5 linked regions of the Rattus norvegicus genome follow. The protein of the gene in region 5 interacts with the protein of the main gene of each other region in a pairwise test. Links are inferred from orthologs where the notes say so. Each region holds a gene or a part of one and is shown on either strand. Other genes may lie near its edges.

What was found.
Region 1: the proteins of Coq8a (region 5) and Ldaf1 interact in binary tests that used the Homo sapiens proteins (3 or more experiments, as listed by UniProt). The two-hybrid records come from large-scale screens. The link is inferred for Rattus norvegicus from reciprocal best matches to the Homo sapiens genes COQ8A and LDAF1.
Region 2: the proteins of Coq8a (region 5) and Sh3glb1 interact in binary tests that used the Homo sapiens proteins (3 or more experiments, as listed by UniProt). The link is inferred for Rattus norvegicus from reciprocal best matches to the Homo sapiens genes COQ8A and SH3GLB1.
Region 3: the proteins of Coq8a (region 5) and Tfip11 interact in binary tests that used the Homo sapiens proteins (3 or more experiments, as listed by UniProt). The two-hybrid records come from large-scale screens. The link is inferred for Rattus norvegicus from reciprocal best matches to the Homo sapiens genes COQ8A and TFIP11.
Region 4: the proteins of Coq8a (region 5) and Tmem239 interact in binary tests that used the Homo sapiens proteins (3 or more experiments, as listed by UniProt). The two-hybrid records come from large-scale screens. The link is inferred for Rattus norvegicus from reciprocal best matches to the Homo sapiens genes COQ8A and TMEM239.

What each region holds. Positions count from the first base shown.
Region 1 is NC_086019.1:183,914,572-183,918,725, reverse strand, and holds the start of Ldaf1 (lipid droplet assembly factor 1), read right to left. Parts: upstream 2,808-4,154; 5' UTR 2,782-2,807; intron 2,410-2,781; 5' UTR 2,367-2,409; intron 627-2,366; 5' UTR 523-626; coding exon 427-522; intron 1-426. UniProt on the Homo sapiens protein: Plays an important role in the formation of lipid droplets (LD) which are storage organelles at the center of lipid and energy homeostasis. In association with BSCL2/seipin, defines the sites of LD formation in the endoplasmic reticulum.
Region 2 is NC_086020.1:236,435,141-236,438,655, forward strand, and holds part of Sh3glb1 (endophilin-B1), read right to left. Parts: intron 2,614-3,515; coding exon 2,472-2,613; intron 1,340-2,471; exon of another isoform or gene 1,312-1,339; coding exon of another isoform or gene 1,221-1,311; intron 1-1,220. UniProt on the Homo sapiens protein: May be required for normal outer mitochondrial membrane dynamics. Required for coatomer-mediated retrograde transport in certain cells. May recruit other proteins to membranes with high curvature. May promote membrane fusion.
Region 3 is NC_086030.1:49,969,457-49,973,408, forward strand, and holds the start of Tfip11 (tuftelin-interacting protein 11), read right to left. Parts: upstream 2,802-3,952; 5' UTR 2,729-2,801; intron 2,678-2,728; exon of another isoform or gene 2,567-2,677; intron 1,699-2,566; 5' UTR 1,511-1,698; intron 1,225-1,510; 5' UTR 1,216-1,224; coding exon 1,007-1,215; intron 1-1,006. UniProt on the Homo sapiens protein: Involved in pre-mRNA splicing, specifically in spliceosome disassembly during late-stage splicing events. Intron turnover seems to proceed through reactions in two lariat-intron associated complexes termed Intron Large (IL) and Intron Small (IS).
Region 4 is NC_086021.1:138,056,546-138,059,598, reverse strand, and holds Tmem239 (transmembrane protein 239), read right to left. Parts: upstream 1,723-3,053; 5' UTR 1,666-1,722; intron 1,585-1,665; exon of another isoform or gene 1,533-1,584; 5' UTR 1,519-1,532; coding exon 1,063-1,518; 3' UTR 509-1,062; downstream 1-508. Other genes in the region: uncharacterized protein C20orf141 homolog, read right to left, coding at 2,202-2,439, 2,523-2,680.
Region 5 is NC_086031.1:94,446,369-94,449,883, forward strand, and holds part of Coq8a (atypical kinase COQ8A, mitochondrial), read right to left. Parts: intron 3,150-3,515; coding exon 2,736-3,149; intron 2,487-2,735; coding exon 2,420-2,486; intron 1-2,419. UniProt on the Homo sapiens protein: Atypical kinase involved in the biosynthesis of coenzyme Q, also named ubiquinone, an essential lipid-soluble electron transporter for aerobic cellular respiration.

The sequences.
Region 1 (4,154 bases), on a different chromosome or scaffold from region 5:
GAGCCAAACATTTCAAAGAAGGATAGTGTCTGCTGTATACACCAAGAATGGCTTCTTTAGATCCAGCCAAAAATGGCAGTTACCACAAGGGGTCACTCTATAACCAAATTCTGCATTATATGGGATTTAGCTAGTGTTTTGTGATTCTCCGACTTCCAGGAATCTTCTCTAATTTGGAGGTGCCTTAAAAATAATGTTTCTTCCCGCCTGCCTGCTGTCCTATTGCCCTGCATGTCAATATGCTGGCTGATGCTCTAGCAGTCACAGTGATCGTGGATAAGCAGGTCAGGAATCAGACATAGCAGGGTGCCAGCAGAAAGATTCCTGACTTACTTGTAAATTCCTTTTGAGAAAGAACCAATGTCCAGTCTTGTTCAGACCAGTGTTATTCCGGGTTTCCCATTATGTATGGCATTGGGCACTGACCTTTGAGTTATTCTGGAAAGACTCTAACAGCAAACCCAGCTTCCTCTGCAGCTCCTGTAAGTCTCTGGAGACACTCGGGGGCTCTTCCTCGGCCATCTTGAAATGTTCGTCAGTCTCACTCTACAGTAGACCCTCTACCAGGAACTGCATTACTGTAGCACGTAGCCCAATCTCTCATGTCACCCCAGCTCTTGCTATCACTGAAGGAAACAAACGGACAAAAAATTCTTGAATTTTCAGCAATCTCCAAGGAGCTTGTGCCATCCCTAATACATCAATGGCAGGCATGTAAATGGACATAATTTGACAATATTTATCAAAAATTTCAGCTGTACGCACTTTGATCCAGCAATTTATTTTTCAGGAATGTAAATAAGATAAATAGATGTGTGAAAAACATACCCAAAGGATGTATATCATATTCCTGATTATAAAATGACTAGTAAGATGTCAGGAAAAAAACTAAATTCATTTATCATTAACACTTCAGTCTCTCTCTCTCTCTCTCTCTCTCTCTCTCTCTCTCTCTCTCTCACACACACACACACACACACACACACACACACACACACACTGTAGAAAAAGAGCTAGAAAGAGTAATCTCCAAGAACTTATGCCAAACAAGAAAACTGAATGTACTATTCAGAACTCACCACCCCACCCCTTCTCCCTACGCACCCTACCGTAACTCCAGGCTTTCTTTGCTCCTACAGCAGGGACCTGAGGTACTTTCTCTTCTTTCTTTGGCTCCTAAGAACCTTGCACAATGCCATACTTTATTTATGTGTGGTAAGGCCTTCACAGACCTGTCCCCAAGGCCTTGGCACAATTATTTTCTGTGACTCAACAGCAGCCTGGAATTTATAAGACAGTCTCTTTCTCACACTGTTTCTGCATTTTTCATTATGACAATGTATCAAATTAAATATGCTTTTAACCCTGGTTGGGTTTTCAAATAAAAATATTATTCTTATTAATGTATTATTCTTAGTTTATGTCTCCTAGAACATATGTCTGGGTTGGAAAAAAAATAGGATCTCCTTGCAGCTAGCCTTATATACGTTATAGACCTGTGCTCAGTAGATTCCGTCACAGTGCCCAAAATAACTGGATATACCACTTGCCTATTTGGTATTACATGAGGAAACACACCTTACCAGTGTCTACACCACAGAGTCTAGTAAGCAAACCTTCATGACACCAGCTAAAGAGTCTCTCCCCTTGGTCAGGAGAGAATCAACGCCTGCATCATTATTTATGTTGTTAAAGCAGCAGCTGGCGCTAAGATTGAATATAGGATGGCCTCAGGCTTCAGTTTACCTAATCTCATTTCCACAGTGGGCTACAACAAATCAAACTACACCCTTACAACTCTTCTTTGGCCTGGGAAACGCCACTGAACCGGTCTGGAGAGCCTGCTGAAAGCAAGGGTAGGAAGAATGCGGAGGAGGACCGCAGTCAACAATTTCCTGACCATTTACTCCTTCTAGGGTCCTCTGCAGACTCTGAGCAGCACCACAGGGAAGGTGGGACTGCACCACCCCAACCAGCCTAGGGGGAGAGTAGGTGCCCCGCCTACTCTCAGTTTTAGGGGGCCTAGTCAAGTTCTCTGAGATCGCGCCCCGCCCCTTTTAAGGTTCCAAATAAAGCTTTGGCTTCCGAGTCTCGCATCTTGCAAACAAACCGCCATCGCGAACGTTCCAGCTGCCAGTCGGGTCGAATCCCCAGATGGGGGCAGGGCCTTCGGGGCTCCTGGGAATTTATTCTGGACCCCATTTCCGATGAGGGTTGAGGCTTTCAATTCTAAGGCCAGGGATCCACAGAGAAAGAAACCGGTGTGAAGTGGATGGGTCTGATCACGACTATGGGGCACAGAAACTAAGAGATCGGAACTCAGGGCAATTGGGGATCTTGTCACTAATCACTTGGGGCAAACCCACCTTTGACACCTGTAGCTCCCTCCTGCTGTGGCGCATGGCACCCCTGTTGGAGAAGGTGAGGATGCTCAGACCAGACTCCACTTCTTCCCACTCAAGAGGGAAGGTAGGGCCTCTCCGGTGGGTTGGCATTGGTGGCTCCTCCCCATCCCGTCCCCTCCCCAATCTAGCTGCCAGTGTGTAAGCATGGAGATGGCTGGAAATGGTGGATGAGATCTCCCTGCGAGCTCCTAGCCGCGCCCAGCAACTCAAGGAGACAGGCAAAGTTCATCACCAACCCATAGGCGGGTGGCAACAGGCTGAGGAAGCTAGTGCATTCTCCCGCGACCGCCCCTGCACTCCCCCGCTTCCTAGGCCGAGCTTGGAGGGTTCAGCCAGCCGGGGTCCTCTACTTCACACCCCAGCTTTGCTCTCTCACCTGGTGCTGGCTGCCGCAATACCCCGCCCCGTAGCCACAGAGGGCGCAAAGCGAAGTGGAAGGAAGAAAAGAGGCACAGGCCTGACTTGGGGAAGGAACCGGACTCGCTCCACCTCACCAACAAGCGCTCTTCCTCTACCGAAGCCCCGCCCTTCTGTCACGCCCCTCGCCGAGGCTCCGCCCCTCGCCCCTTCTCGCGGAGGACCAACCCTGGCCCTCGCCCCAGGCTCAAGTCCCCGCCGCGCTTTCCCAGCCTGGCCAGGAAGAGTAGTGTATCCAGACGTCTAGCTGCTCGGCTTGACACCTTTGCTAGGCAGCCCGCTTCTTCCTACACACTCTAGGAACAACCCCCACAAACTTTTAGGCTCTAGTGGATGACTAATGAGTAAATGACTGTCTGGAGACAGTCTCTTCCTACACCGGTGGCTTGGAGTGAAAGTTCTGGGGCCACATTTTAGGAGGATTGGCAACTAGAGGTGGGATTATAGTGGCAGAACTAGTTCTGGATTCACCCCTAGAGTTCAAGTCACACCAGTCAATCAGTTAGGTAGCTCCTGTACTGGAAGGTTCTAGCCATTATGCAGGCGCAAATGTTGGCAGCCAGAGAATCTTAGAGAGGGATTATCTCCATTTTACGGATTTAAAAACAAAAACAAAGAGCTAGAAACAAATCCTCTTCTCAAGGACGCTTGGTAGAGAAACCCATGTTTCCCGGTTTCAAATGTAGGCCTGAGGAACCCCGTTAGTTACTCAATATTAATACTACTGGCATTTGAGATGGGACGAAGTCTGCTTCTGAGATGTCTTGTGAGCACACTGGGGTGCTTAGTGGCATTCCTGGTCTCTACCCATGAAATAAAAAAATACAGTAACAGACCCTCCCAGTTGCAATAACTTAAAATGCTTCCAAGGGGTTGGGGATGGGGTGCGATCATCAACCATCAGGTAGGCAGAAGCACTGCTGATGAACTTACAGCAGAAAACTATGGGCTGGGCCTCTGGAGTCCCCATCTCAGTGCCCAAGCCTAGGTGTCACTGTGTAATGTTGCTGAACCACACAGTGCTCTGAGCCACATCTTTTTCACCCATTAAATGAGGAGAAGGGCAAGCCCAGGTACTCGTCTGCTGCTAAACAGGTCTCAGGCTCTTTTCACCCAAAGTCCTGGAGTGACCCACCTCTCTCCCAGAGCCCTGTACCAATAGCATCCTGGAGATGGGTAAACTCTTGGGTAAAAAGAGAAATCACAGGGTTTTACTGAGGACAACGAAAAAGATGCCTTTAAAGGACTGAGTACCTCTCAGGCACGTAATAGGAACTCAAAAATATTACACGGGAGGAGAGAGAAGACCAGGAAGGCAGCTTAGAGGTTAAG
Region 2 (3,515 bases), on a different chromosome or scaffold from region 5:
ATGTTGGCTATTGTATAATCTCTAAAACTTTATAGTTCAGAAACCTGGCAATATAGATCTCTGCACAAAAGCAATTATTCTAAAGTTAAACTTGTTATTTGGGTATTTTTTTTAGATTTTATCTTTAGAAGAGAAATTTATAAATTTAATATATAGTGAAGTTGCCTTTAACCTACTCTGAAATTACATTTATGATTTTAAAATCAGGGATATGTAGCTAGGGAAATATGGATACAGAGTATTTAAGGTCTAAGAGTGATACTTGACAACCTTTGGCATGAACATGTAATTCTCTCGTACAGAGTCTAAACATAGACACAGAGCTTAAGGCCTTGGAACAGTCTGCAGACTGACTGGCAGTGTTGTCCACAGCAGCTAACGTCTTTTCCTTCCAGTGGGCTGGGGTACACACATGTGCAGATGCATGCAGTACCAGAGCTCATGTTTGGGTTCTTCCTAATTACAGTGGACAGGTTTGGGGTTTTGTTTTCTTTTTTTTCGGTTTTTGTTTGTTTCTTTGTTTTGTTTTTTGAAAAATCCAAAGGTGGTAATGGAAATACTTCAGAAGTTGGCTAAAATGTTAATTGTAACACATAACAGGGTTGGTTTGTAATATAAAATATATAAGTTAGAGATTGTCAAAATAATACTGCTTTTTTGGCAGTCTCCTGCAAACCCCCAAGAACTGCAAAGCAGAACCTAAAACCTTTTAGTTGGCCAGGAGCATGCCTTTATCTCAGAACTTGGGAGGCAGAGGCAGAAAAGTATCTGTGAGTGTGAGGCAAGCCTGATCTACTTAGTCAGTTCCAAGTAGCCAGAGCTAGACAGAGAGAGCCTACCTCAAAACAAAACCAAAACTAAAACCTTTACTAAAACCTAATTGAGTCATTTTGAATTATCTGTCCATGAAACACTGACCAGGTTCCTAATTGTGATTTTCAGCTCTAATTTCTTTTTACCTAATAAGTCAAGAGTTCAAAGGTGATAATCCTGCGTTGTTTTAATTCAGTAAATAAATACGTAGTATATTAGCAAACATTGCTTTATTTCATTAAGTTATTCATGAGCTCTGAACTTATGCAGGCATTTCTGCTATGATATTGTATATTTATGCATAGTTTTTTAAAAATATCTAAATTGTAGGACTTTGAGGAAAGATTAAAGGTTACTTTATCCATGCAATTTTATAACTAGAGCACAAAACAACCACCCTGACTTACTTCCTGGAAAACAATGGAGAAAAGGCTCGAGCGGATACTGTGCCATACGCCTCCACTCGCCTGCCCGCCACTCACTGAGCTCACTTGTCATTCAGAAAACCAACTGCAGACCGACTCTTCTACACGTGTGTGGCCGGGGTAGAAAAAGATCCAGTAGTAGTGTTAAAGTATAGTTGTGCATAATTTAAATGTTAGTGAATGATCAAGAAATGCTGCCCTGCGTGTGTGGTGTCCAAAGACAAGAAGCCTTCCTCAAGGCTTGCATACTTAATTTTTAAAGGTTATAACAATTTAACTACAATGGCACACACAGGATTATTAGTATTTTTATAATACTTGAAGTTTAAGACAATGAAAGTTTATAGTGTGCTCACAATAGCACTGGGGAAAGGAAAACACACACTGTTACCTTTGCCCTTTGGTTTTGATATTTATAGAGCTCCTTAACCCAACTAGGAGAAGGGAACAGTCAACTAATGGACTGGGGGCTCCCAGAGACTGAGCCACCAACCAAAGAGCACACGTGGGCTGGACATAGGCCCCACCCTATATGTAGCAGCTGTGCAGCTTGGTCTTTGCGTGGGTCCCCCAACAACTAAGGGGGTGGGGTGTGGCACTGTCCCTGAGTTTGCTGCCTGCCTGTGGATCCTGTTTCTCTAACTGGGCTGCCTTGTCTAGCCTCACTGGAAGAGGATACACTTGGCCCTGCAGTGACTTGATGAGCCAGGGTAGGTTGCTGGGGGTGGCGTGTGTGGGGGGTGTCCCCTTATCAGAAGAGAAAGGGAGGGGAGGAGGGATGGGGAGGGGCTAAATGAGGTGGAGACTGGGAGGAGGGGCTACAGTCAGGATGTAAAGGGAATAAATAAATGGTGGGGAAAAGGACTAGATGCAATCCATTTGGTTGTAGTTCAAACTCCACTTCAGACAGTCTGCTATGCTGCACAAGAGGCTCACTTAGCAATTCCACTCTGCAAACTAGTGCACAGCTCATCTGCAAGGCTGATCCTCAACACTGTGGTTATCTAAAAATCAAGTTCAAACTTAGGGGAAAATAGCAAACTGAAAACAGCCTCTTCTCTAGAAAGGCCTACATAATGTTAACTGTGGATCTGTTAGGGGGTATGTAGAAGTGTGCATCAGCTCTTCTAAATCACATACATAAAAGCTACAGACCCTGAAGACACAGAAGACACCATTTTCAACCTGAGAGCCATGGGCTGCAGCACTCAGGGCGGGAAGTGGGGGCCTTACTTGGATTTGGCTGCAACAGCACCTCAGTCTGCTTCATTATCTTCTCTGTCCACACTTTGGTGCACTCCGCCTTGCTGAGGAGATTTTCCAGGTGAGCATCCAGTTCTGTCTTCTCTGCTTGGCCAAGCTTTTCCTCTGTGAACTGTCAGCATTTAAAACACGAGTGTAGTATATCAACACACCTCACATACACAGGACACAGCCAAAGAGTAAAAGTCAAATCCAAACGATTCTAGACGTGCAAACAGGTCCACTCCAGGCTTGTTTATAAGTCACTGCTTTCAGCGCTGTTTGTGTCCGTGGTCACTTATCCACCCTCCTACATCCTACCACAGGATTTACCATGACTATCTCATTCCTCTGATAAACTGCATGGTCTGACTCGGACTTCAGACCCTGACTGTATGCTAATCGACACAGGCAAACTTTTCAGAATTTCCCCCTTTTGTATCATCTATCATAAAGGTGACACAATGAACATGTACTTTTAAGATGAGGTTTTACTGTGCCGCTCAGAATGGTTTGCACTTTTATTGTCTCAGCTTCTCAAACAATAATTGTTTTAAGGATTAAGTATGACTGTCTATAGAAATAAATCTCTCTGCTTAGAGCCTTGTAATTATTATTCAATTTTAGAATATTTTAATTCTTTTATGACTTATGTATTATTTTTAAGTTTAACTACACCCAAGTTAGACTTTCATGGGATCCTCTGAGCAGGCATCCTTTGGGCTTTTCTTCAGGGTTTGCTCCAACAATGTGTTTACAGGCTACTTTCTGCTATGATATTCACACAGCAGAAGTATTCTTTTTTTATAAGATTTATTTTTAAAAAAGAATTTATATGTGTGTGAGAACATGAGAGTGTAGGTGCCCACAGAGTCCAGAAGAGAGCACTGAAGTCCTCAAGTTGGATTAGTGGGAGTTGCCGGTCACCAGACATAGGTGTTAAGTATTGGAATCAGGTTCTGTCTGCAAGAGCGTAAGCAGCATCTTAATTCGCTGAGGTCTCTCTCCAGCCCCAAAGCGTAGGCGTTCTCTTTA
Region 3 (3,952 bases), on a different chromosome or scaffold from region 5:
CCTGTGAGCCAAAGCAGATTCCCCGAAGATGGAATCAGGGGCAGTGTGAGCTGCCAGCCGTGGCACTGGCTGGGAGCCACACTCAGGTCTGCTGGAGCAGTGCTCAATCTTCATTGCTACTGAGTCCTCTTCCAGCCCACATTTAACGCTCATGTGGTCCGTTCAACTCAAACCTGTAGCTGAAGACTTGCCACTGTCAGTAGTTGATTATGAGTTCAAATTGGGATGCAATGATCTCACTTCCCTTTGACACTTTCAAAAATGGCGCTATTGCTGCGTGCAAGAACAATCTGTAGAGTGGCTCATCCCTTTCACCCTTCATGTAGGAACCTGGTGATGGAACGCAGCTAACCAGGCTTGCCCTGCAGACATCTCCACCTCTAAGCCATCACACTGGGCCCCTTTCACAACCGAAAAGACTGTCTCAGCTCCCTGCTTGCTTTAGAGTGGTACAGTTCTTATCTAGCGTGCATGTAAAACACACACGGCATTTGTTTTAGATACTCTTTCAAGTGTAAAACTCAAACAGAACAACCCAGATAGATAAAAATCCTAATTAAAATTAATCAAAAAATCATAAGTAAAATTAAACAAAATATTCTGAGTGAGGTCAGCTGGGAGGCACATGCTGTTTTCTTGCCTTGAGAGACAGCATCTTACTATGTAGCCCAGGCCGTACTACCACACGTCCCCTGTGGACGACGCCTTCATTTGGGCCAACAGTCTTCTCCAGAGTGACCTTCCCTGACCCCCCCTGTTCTCTAGTGCCCTGCAAGTGTTCCTTGGCACAGCATGGTCCCACAGCTGCCATGCCTGTGGTGGACCAGCACGTCTCTGTCCATATCCTGCTCCCGTCACACAGTAATTGCTAAGGAGGATGTTGCCATCCCAGCTCAACAGTACAGAGCAGGATGCTGTAGTGTCTGGACAGGAGCAGGGCAGGAAACTCTTCTAGGGTGTCCTCCTGACCCTCCAGACCAAGGGCATGCAGCCCAGCACACAGTACCGTTTGCCTCCGAAGCTGGGCCTCTCCTCGTCTGAGTCACGCTCAGCCCACACTCCATAGGTGGCCTCCTCTTTGGTCTGCCAATGACGCTGCCGGTTGGGGTTGAACTCATTCTGGAGATCCCAGTCAGTGATCTCAAAGTTCTCACGCTCGTCATCGTCATCATCAAGGTGGCCTTCCCCATCCCGGTACAAGTGGGACAGAGACATGGCCAGTCACTACAAGAAGAGGGGACAAGAACAGCACTGTGAGAACCCACGGCCAGCAGAAGATCCTCCGGAGTCAAAAAGCTATGAGCCTCATAATACAACTCAGTAAAGCAGCCATTAAACACAGGATAAAATGACCAGCTCTGCAACAAGTGAGACGAGTCAGACCCGGTCATCACAGGGGTCTAAGGAACAATGCCTTTTCAGAGTCAAACATAGTGCATGCATGGGGTGGGGCCACAGACAGACGGCAGACATGCCACAGAAAGGAAGCAACAGCTCCATGTGCTATTACCTCAGAAACCAAGTTGGTCCTTTCCTTCTCCAGGGAAGTTGTACCTAGCTGATTTGCAGTTCCAGGGAAACTTTAGAGCATTTTCTGAAATACTGTCTCACAAAACTGAAGGTTTCCTTCCCAAACCTGAATGGCTTCTGAGGGATTGGAAGGAGGTGGTCTTTCTGGACGACACTTCACAGTCACGCCTAGAGGGTGTAGAGTAAACAAAGTGTTCTACCCAGGTTATCTACTTAGCTCTCTCTCATAACTGCATTCATTCAGTTCCAGAAGTAGCTTGCAAGCACTAAAACAATCCTTTAGAAAGACAAAGGCAGTCCATCTCAGTAATTTCAAAGCCAACCTGGTCTCAAAACAGACAAAACAACAAAAGCTGAACTCCCTGCAGGTGCTCAAGAAACAGCACCCTCACCAGGCAGGATGATGACCATCTTTGATTCTAGGAATAGGGAGGCAGAGACAGGTGGATCTGAGTTCAAAGCCAGTCCAGGACAGTTCCAGGACAGACAGGGCTGGCTGTTACACAGAGAAATTCTGTCTCGAAAAAAAACAGTAAACAAGGTGGGGGGAGGGGAGAAAAAGAAAAAAAGAAAGAAAAAAAAGTAAGAAAAAAGCATCTTCTACTTCCGTCCCGTGGTCAGGTGGTTTCAGGATCACCGTCATTACCAGTCAGGGCTGAGAAGTGAACCCTTCAAAATGACTGTGAAAATCAGGAACACTCAACACTACCGCCTGAGTTTAAATCACGCTTCTATGAACACCTCTGTGTGTGGGTATCACATACAAAGGCCCCGACACTGCACAGCAATGTCCTCACTATGTGACTCCATGGTGTACAGATGCACCAGTAATTGACAGCGGAGAAAGCGCTCCGTTGTTATAAACATCTCCCTACTCCTCACTATGCACCGGTTCATCACAACAGGTCTCAACCTCAGCTAAGAGTTGAGCGCAAAGTTCTCAAAGGAGCAGGAAGCCCTGGGCTCATGAGATTACCACCTCCCCAGCACAGGGGATAGTAAAAATCCCACAGTGGTCAGGAGACACTCAGCTTACCCGCGTTCGGGGCTGGTTATTTAGTGTCAGCGTCAGGACGCTCCCAGGTCCCGTCCCGCGGCGGGCCGGGCTGGAGACCTGGGCGCGGGGAGAGCATGGGACCGCCGCCATAGAGCATCAGCCCGCCCTCCGGGCCATCCCGCCACCCCGCCGCCCGCTCACCTCACTCAGCACCCGTGAATCACACAACTTCGGTCCACCTTCCCAGAGCCTGCGAGGGACCCGCTAGCCGAAACCCGGATGTGACCTGCCGGCGCACAGGAAGTGCGTCACTCGCTGGCGGAAATGGCGCGCTGTTGCCCCGGCAGCGACTTAACGCTAAGGGGGCGTGTCTGAGTACTGGAAGGCCTCGCTCTGCTTCCGGTTCCCATCGGAACTGAGGCCGAGTGGATGTCTGGTCCCTCTGCAAGCACTGGGGTCTTGGTTTGTCAAAGGCGGAGAAGGTGTTATCCCAAGGAAGCCACCGCCGGATAGAACCGCCGTGCCCATAGTGCCTGAACCAGCGTCACGGGGACCCTGAGTGATTAAAATGTCCTCAGGACCCCATGTCGCGAGAAGGAAAGGCTAAGGGCCCAGCCCCAGAGGAAGAGCTTGGCTGCCGGAGGTCCTCGCGTTGTAATCGGCGAGCGTGCTTCCTGGCTTTTGCTTTATCTTTTCTGTAACTCTGTAAACAGGAAAGGCAGAGGAACCGAAGAACTTATCTCTAGGCAGCTGTGCACAGCCTGTAATAAATTTGTTTTTTCTTTGTCAATCCCTGGCCCTATTTTGTTCTGAAATACCTGATTCTTGGGTTGTCTCTGTTAGGATAAACCAGTGTGGGCCTGGAACAGTTTAAGGAATGAGTTTCCGAAGGAGTGCCCGGGCGTTCTCGCCAGGAAGCAGTTTTCCTCGCTGCTGTAGTTATTTCTCTGGTGCTGAGAAAGAAAGGAGTTGGGCTTTTTTGTTGGTTTGGTTTGGTTTGGTTTTGGTTTTTGGTTTTTTCAAGACAGGGTTTCTTTGTGTCCCTGGCTGTTTTGGAACTCAACTCTGTAGATCAGGCTGGCCTCGAACTCGGAGATATGCCCGCCTCTGCCTCCTGAGTTCTGGGATTAAAGGCATGCACCACCACTGGCCCACAGGACGGGGGCATAGTTCATCTTACACTCTACACATCTTACAAATCTACACATAGTCTGATGCCATCTCTGGTTCTGAAACACGCTCGTTTTCTCTAGTACACTAAAAGGCTGCGTCTTGGTGGGTTTTGTTGTTGGTTGGATTTTTGTTTTTCCCCATCAGCTTGATACACACTAGAGTTATATGGGAAAAGGAACCTCAGTGCTTCCATCATCCTGATGGTCTACAGGCAAGACTGTGGGGTGGTTTGCTTGATGAATGATTGGTGTG
Region 4 (3,053 bases), on a different chromosome or scaffold from region 5:
AACATTTCCTGGACCAGGCTCCGGTCTCAGGCATTGCACAACTCATCTAGTTCAGTATCTGCCTAGCGTGAGGCCACGTGGTACCTTTCACATTTCATCGCCCCGTTCATTCCATGTCAGTTCTGGGGCTGGGACTCCATACATGACAGATTTTCTGTGCAAGCCTAGAGAAACATACTCCATCTTTTAGCTTCTGAATCAAAAGGCCTTTTGAGCTTAACTGCTGTTTAGCCTTACAAAGTACTTTTCATAAAACCAGGCATGATGGCGCAAGTTTTAATCCCAGTACTCTGCACATAAATAGAGGCGACAGGATCAGAAATTCAAAGTCATTCCCAGCTAAAGAGTCCAAAGCCACCCTGGGCTTCATGAGACCCTGTTTCAAAACAACAGCAAAAGCAAAGTAGTTTGCAAACAGATACTGGCTTTCGATCGTAACGACATTATGAAAACATGGGGGCTCCCTTAACGCTGAGGTTCAAGAATAGTGAATTGGCCAAGATATGGAACTTTGCATTTTTGTAACAGACCTGGAGGCTCTTAAAAATATGAGTATGTAGGGTGGAGTGTTTGCTTATGCACAAAGCCTTGGGTCCAGTCTACACACACACTCTCCACCCTCCCTCAGTCTCCCCCATGATTGGCCTCTTTCCCGTTTCTGTGAGGTGAGGTCCCCAGCCTCTCTTTCTGTCAATAAAACCCATTCCAGAGTGTGTGCTCCTCCTGGAATTAGAGAGAGGACCCGGGACAAATCCAGACAAGCCCAGGGATATGTACATGGAAACTCTCAAGAAGCCTGGAGCTGGGAGGGCTGAGGTGGTGACAAAAGGGTTCTGCCAGGAAGATCAAGTGACATGGTGCTTTCCGTGGTTTGTCCTAGCAAGACCGTCCTGTTCCTGACACCAGTGTGGGTTTAAGGTAGATGCCCAGAATCCAGACCCCCACTTGTGTTTGTGACTGGGGGTCTGAGGTCTGTTGGAGTTTCCCTGCCCACCCTCCCCACAGGGCTCAGGCCCTAGGCCAGGGCTCAACAGACACAAGCAGTAAGATGGGGTTGCCCTTCTATTGGTCCAAGTCCTGAGCGTAGCCTGGGTGAGTCATGGAGGTGAGGAGGCCCACGAGGCTCAGCAGTGTGGAGAAGAGCAGCAGGAAGGAGGCAGCGAAGAGCAGAGCAGGCAGGGCACTGAGCACAAGCAGCAGGACAGCTGGCAGCAGGTGGCTCCACATGACAGCCACCACAGGCCACAGGGAGCTCAGCAGGTGGGAGCCAGTGGTGAAGAGTGCATGGCACAGCATCAGTGCCAGCAGCAGGTACAGTGTCCCCTCCAGACCCCATAGCATGCGCTGCAGTGGTTGCCTCCAGCCTGATGTATTCCACCACTGGGCCCAGCTCCGAGGTATGTGGCATACCCACCAGCGCACCCAGTCCTGACGGAGAACCCAGGCTGACCAGGGCGCTGCCCGCTGGGGCCCCTCGCCAGCCCCGATGATGTCCGTCTCCACTCGTGGCTGCTGCATCACGGCTGGTGCACCTGTGGATGGGGCCAGGCCAGCTGCAGGAGCAACCCTGGAGATGCCCAGGACCTTTGGATAGGAGGGCATGCAGGGGTCAGGAGGATACCAGCATGGGCAGGATTGGGCTTTGACCCGGGGGCTAGGACTCACCTTTGGGCAGAGCCACCTAAGTCATGGTGCTTCCTGTTGTGTGCAGGCTAACCTGGCAGCCAGGTCCCAGTCTCACCCTCGCTCACCCCACCATCCCCAGAGGGGTGCATTATGACCCGGGCTGGGGTGGGGCCCAGCCGAGAGAAGAGCTGCTGCAGTGTGAGACTCACTCACGTCTTTTACTCACGGCCCCTCCAGGCTGGCAGGAGAGCTCAGCAAGCCTCACAGATGCCATTCTCCTTGCTTGTAGGAAGCCTTCTCCACACCTGTCCCTCCTGGATGGCTGCCTCCAACTTCATGGCTGGCATTGGTTTCTGTAACCACCCTTTTCTCTGCCTTCTCTTAATGCCCTAAGCCTCAGACCCAGCTACCAAATGTTCATATTATGGAACTAGAAGGTTCAAGCTGAATATACTGGACTATTCTGTCCTTCCAACAGACAACCTTACCCTCACGTAGCTCAGGATGGAGGAGAAGAAATCAGAGAGCAGATTGGATGGTGTGTTTTTAGAAGGCATTCATCTTTTGGAGGCCCCTCAGGCCCACGGATGGATACAGAAAGCTAGGCCCAGCATGGCTAAGGGGATACCAGAGCCTCCCAAGAGCAGGCTGAGGCCCAGGAACAGCAGGAGCAGTGCATCCTGGAGTCTGAGCAGTCCCGAGACTCTCCCTGTTGGGGACAGGGGAGCTGCTTGCTGTCCTGGCCCTTCACCAGCCCCCTGGCTCTGACCTGTTGGGAGAAGTCTGTGCCGTGGCAGGTTGGGACCTGTGGATCTGTGGAGAGAGAAGATGGCAGCTCGAGGCAACTGCTCATTTGTCCCTGTGTTTGTGACACCTACCTGACAGGTGGCACTTACCCACGGAGCAGGTCAAAAACAAGGAAGCTGGACAGCAACAGGAGCAGCAGGGCTAGGCCAGCCGTTGAGAAGACTGTTCGAATCGTCACTCCTAGCGCCCCCAGCCCTAGGATACTGTCCAGGAGCTGGGCCTGGCTGAAGTCCCAGGGGACACACATGGCTCACTGACACTACTCAATCCCTCTCCAGTCTCCAGCCCCTCTGGAAGGAGGAAGTTGGCTGTAGAATAGTTCTGGGCATGAGTAAGCAGAGCCAGGTCCCAAAGGTTATTAGGGAGTCCTCGTGCTAGGAGATTGAGGATCAGTGAAGGGATACAACACTCCAGGGTGAGCTCAGTGAGTGAGGAACTAGCCTCTTTGGGGATCTCCCTCCCCCGACTCCCACCCAACATCCTCACCAACTCTCCTCACCTCCTCCTACTTGGGTTGACCATTCTAGATTTGAACACTCTGGGGCATTGTGACCTATTACCAGGCAGGGCCTTGAATTAAGGACAGGACAACAGTCTGTCTCGCCTCATAAGCACTGGTG
Region 5 (3,515 bases):
GCAGCATCCCCAGTCATGGGCTTGTTCAGCTGCACATACAGCACTCAGATCCTAAGCGTACCCTGGCTGGGCTCAGCGTTCTGTCAAACAGTTTTTGGGTGTTTCTGGGCTCCCAGGCAAAACACAAATTCTACAATGGGGTTGGGGGATATTAAACAAATGTATGAAGGAACATTCTAGAAAAGAGGCCTCTGGCTCCTTCAGTTGCTGCACCAGACCCAGGAGCTGCCAACAGAGGGACAGGCTCCCACGGCAGGCAGATCAGGAGGTAAGAACACGCTCACCCAGATAGCCATCATGCTCTTGGCCTCCCAGGTTCTCTGAACCCAGGCCTGGTATGTGATTCTTGGAATCCCCTGCCCAGCTCAGCCTTCATCCAGAGCCAGGTAAACCTGGGGTAACTAACTCTGCGATGAGGGGAACTTCAGGTACCCTGCTCCTGCACCCAAGGACCTCACACAGCCTCTCCTACTGTGATGTGTCTAGAAGGCTTGTTCTCCACGTGTCCCTGAGAGAGAGTCACTGCTGGCAGTTTGACCTTCCTCCTGGCCTGTAGCAGCACACTGCCCATACACAGAAAGCCCTAGTACTTCTCAGTAAAGATGGTTTGCCATCAAGGAAGGGAAGTGACAGGGCACAGAACTCTCCCGCAGGCAAAGCAAAGGTACAGTGTGCAGGTTGGGAGCCTATTCTGGGTAACTCGGGAGCCTCTCCTAGCCTCTCCACTCTCAGGTCCCCTCTGGAGGTCACCAGAGAAGCAGTCACTCCACTCCCTACCATTAGCACATGTGGGAAGAGCAAGGCTTTTATCAACAGGGGCCTTCATGAGCAGGCTGGGTGATGGAGAGCAGGCCACACTCCCGCTGGTGCTGCTCTGCCTGCTGAAATCTCAGGGCCTGTTTACAACACAGGCTGGAAAGGGCCTCTGCAGAAGCAACCAGACAAGAGCACTGAGACACCAGGCCCTGTAGGCCAGGCCCTACCTGCACTCAGGAAGAACCCAGGGTCGTGTGTGTGCTAGGTAAGATCTCCGCTCCTTACACCACATCCTCAGCCCTAAACCCCACTTTAATTAATACACATGGCTAGTGTCCTTTGCGTGGGTACTAACAGCCTACTTCTGATGAATACCTGCCATCCAACAGCAGCCTCCCCCACAGGAGCTGCAGCCCAGGAAGAAGAGGAAGAGGAACAAAAAGGAAGAGGCAAAGCTCCCTGAGGTGTCTTCTCCCAGGTCCTCTGCTGCTAGGCGGGAAGATGGGTGCCTACTTATCGGGCAGGCAGCTCAGATGTCCCTGCACAGGACAGAGGTCTGTGCTCAGCTCCATCTCTGAATCTGTACAGAGCAGCAGCCATTCCCAGCATGTTCCTGTCAGATTCAGTGAAGAATCTGCTCTACCCCACACCACAAGCACCATGACAGACTGCTTCACTGAAGATCCAGAAACAGTGCCCACAGCTTGAACCTTCTGAACCTGCCTGTTGTTTCGGCCACAGGTTTGGCAACAATGGAGAGAAAAGAAAATAACTGATACAGACAGATATACAAGAGGAAGTACTTGCCAGGAAAGGGAAGACAGAAGGTCCTGGGCCTCCCTGGCCAACTCAGCACCAGCTCTGTCATGACCTTCCAGAACTGTTACGCAGCCATTGCTCCACGGCCAGTAAGCGAAACAAGCCAGCAAAGCTGGTCTTTTGCTGTTTACAGTGCCTGGACCTGGAGAACCCCAGAGGAGTGCTAAAGCTTCATAAACTGCACCCAGAACCCACATCACAGGACCCTGCTGCAAATGGCCAGCGCTCTCAACAAGACCTTTGCAGGTGAGTGAGCAGTGTGTCCACACACTCAGTGCCATTCCAGAAGAGCACAGGGATGGTAGGGTCAAAGGCTGCTTGCCTAAAAACAAGGACAGATGAAGTTCCAAGCCTGAAGCAAACTGAATGACTTTAACTGTCGGCAGCAAAGGGCCACAGTCTGTCAGAATCACACTAACAGTTACAGACTGTGGGATCTGGTAAACAGGTTCCCCAAATGGCTGGTCCCAGAGCAAAAGGTCCTCTAGGGAGCTAAAGGGCCCAGTGAGGCGCCAGTACTCGTGATATGTCTCCTTCCAGCAAAGACTGCTCAAGAACGACCGGCCAACTAGTCCAAGCTGTAGCTCGTGGCAAGGCACAGCCACACACCAGCCACAGGGATAAGCCAAGCTGAGGCTGGAATCCAGGAACCAGGTCATAACCCATGAGAAAACAGACCCTCAACAGCTACTTCATGGGCAACACTGCCACATACCACCCAATGCCAGCACAGCTGGATTCCCAATCACTTCCACCTTAATGTACAGTGGCCACCTCCACCTTCACAGGATAAACAGGGCAGGGCAGTAGAGGAGGGGCAGCACAGGGTACATGACCACCTCACCTCCAAAGTTGGCCAACCGCCCAATCCGGGTAACTGGCACCTTCCGCTCCCGAGCCCGCTCACTGAGCTGGAGGGAAAAAACAAAAGAGGCCTATAGGACTGACAAAACTAACGAATGAGCCAAGACAGCCTGAGGTGCATGCTGTGTGCACCTCCCCTCTCCACCCCTGCTGGCAGCACTGGACAAAAAGACTTCCACGTATTTCTAAAGTCACAGTGGGGGAGGGGTGTTGGCAGGGGGTAAAATGAGGGTCAACGCCAGCCTCACTGGGAGTAGAAACCACCCAAGTCCAACAGTGATGCCTCTCAGGCCTACCATCTGCTTGTGTGGCTTGCTCTCTGGGCGAGCCTTGGCCTGACGGGCCTTTTCAATGTCTTCAGCGGTGAGGCCTCCCACAGGGGCCTGGTCCTGGTGGAAGAATCTTCGCTGGATGCTGTTGGCCAAGAACAAGTCTCTACAATCTACAAAGAGCCTTCCATTGACTCTGCCCAGAGGAGAGGTAGCCTGGCCAGAGAGCCCTGCTTCCCTGAAAGGTCCACTGGAAACATAGGCAGGAGCTGGGCCCTCCCTGTGGGCATGACCCAGGGATGAAGACAGTGGCTGGTCCAGGGAGGAGGCTGTGGAGAAATCTGGGGAGCTTCCAGCTGCCTGTGGTGTTGAGAACTGAACTTCGGCTTCCAGATCTTCGAAGTTCTCAGTGGCATATGAATCTTCATGCTTATCCTGACCCTGAGGAGAACAAAGGCCAGTGTGAGGGGCAGGACTGGTCTGGCGAGGATACTTGCATGTGACTGCCAATCAGCCCTCTCTAACCCTCCAAAGGTGATTGATGCAGCCTAAGACCTGAGGTCCACTTCAAAGTCTAGGAGACCGCAAACAGCTCTCACATGCTTCTTCTAGAACCCTGCTGTGTGATCTCAGGCAGGAATCTATATACCACTGGTCCCTGCTATAGGACCAACCAAGGCCAGGGAAGATGCCCATGGCTGTAGCAACAGACTCCTCCTCTATAAAGCAGAGCCAGCACTGAGCCCATGGGGCTGTTAGGAGAGAAGCCAGGACAGATGAGGAAAGCCTGCAGAAGCATAAGTCACA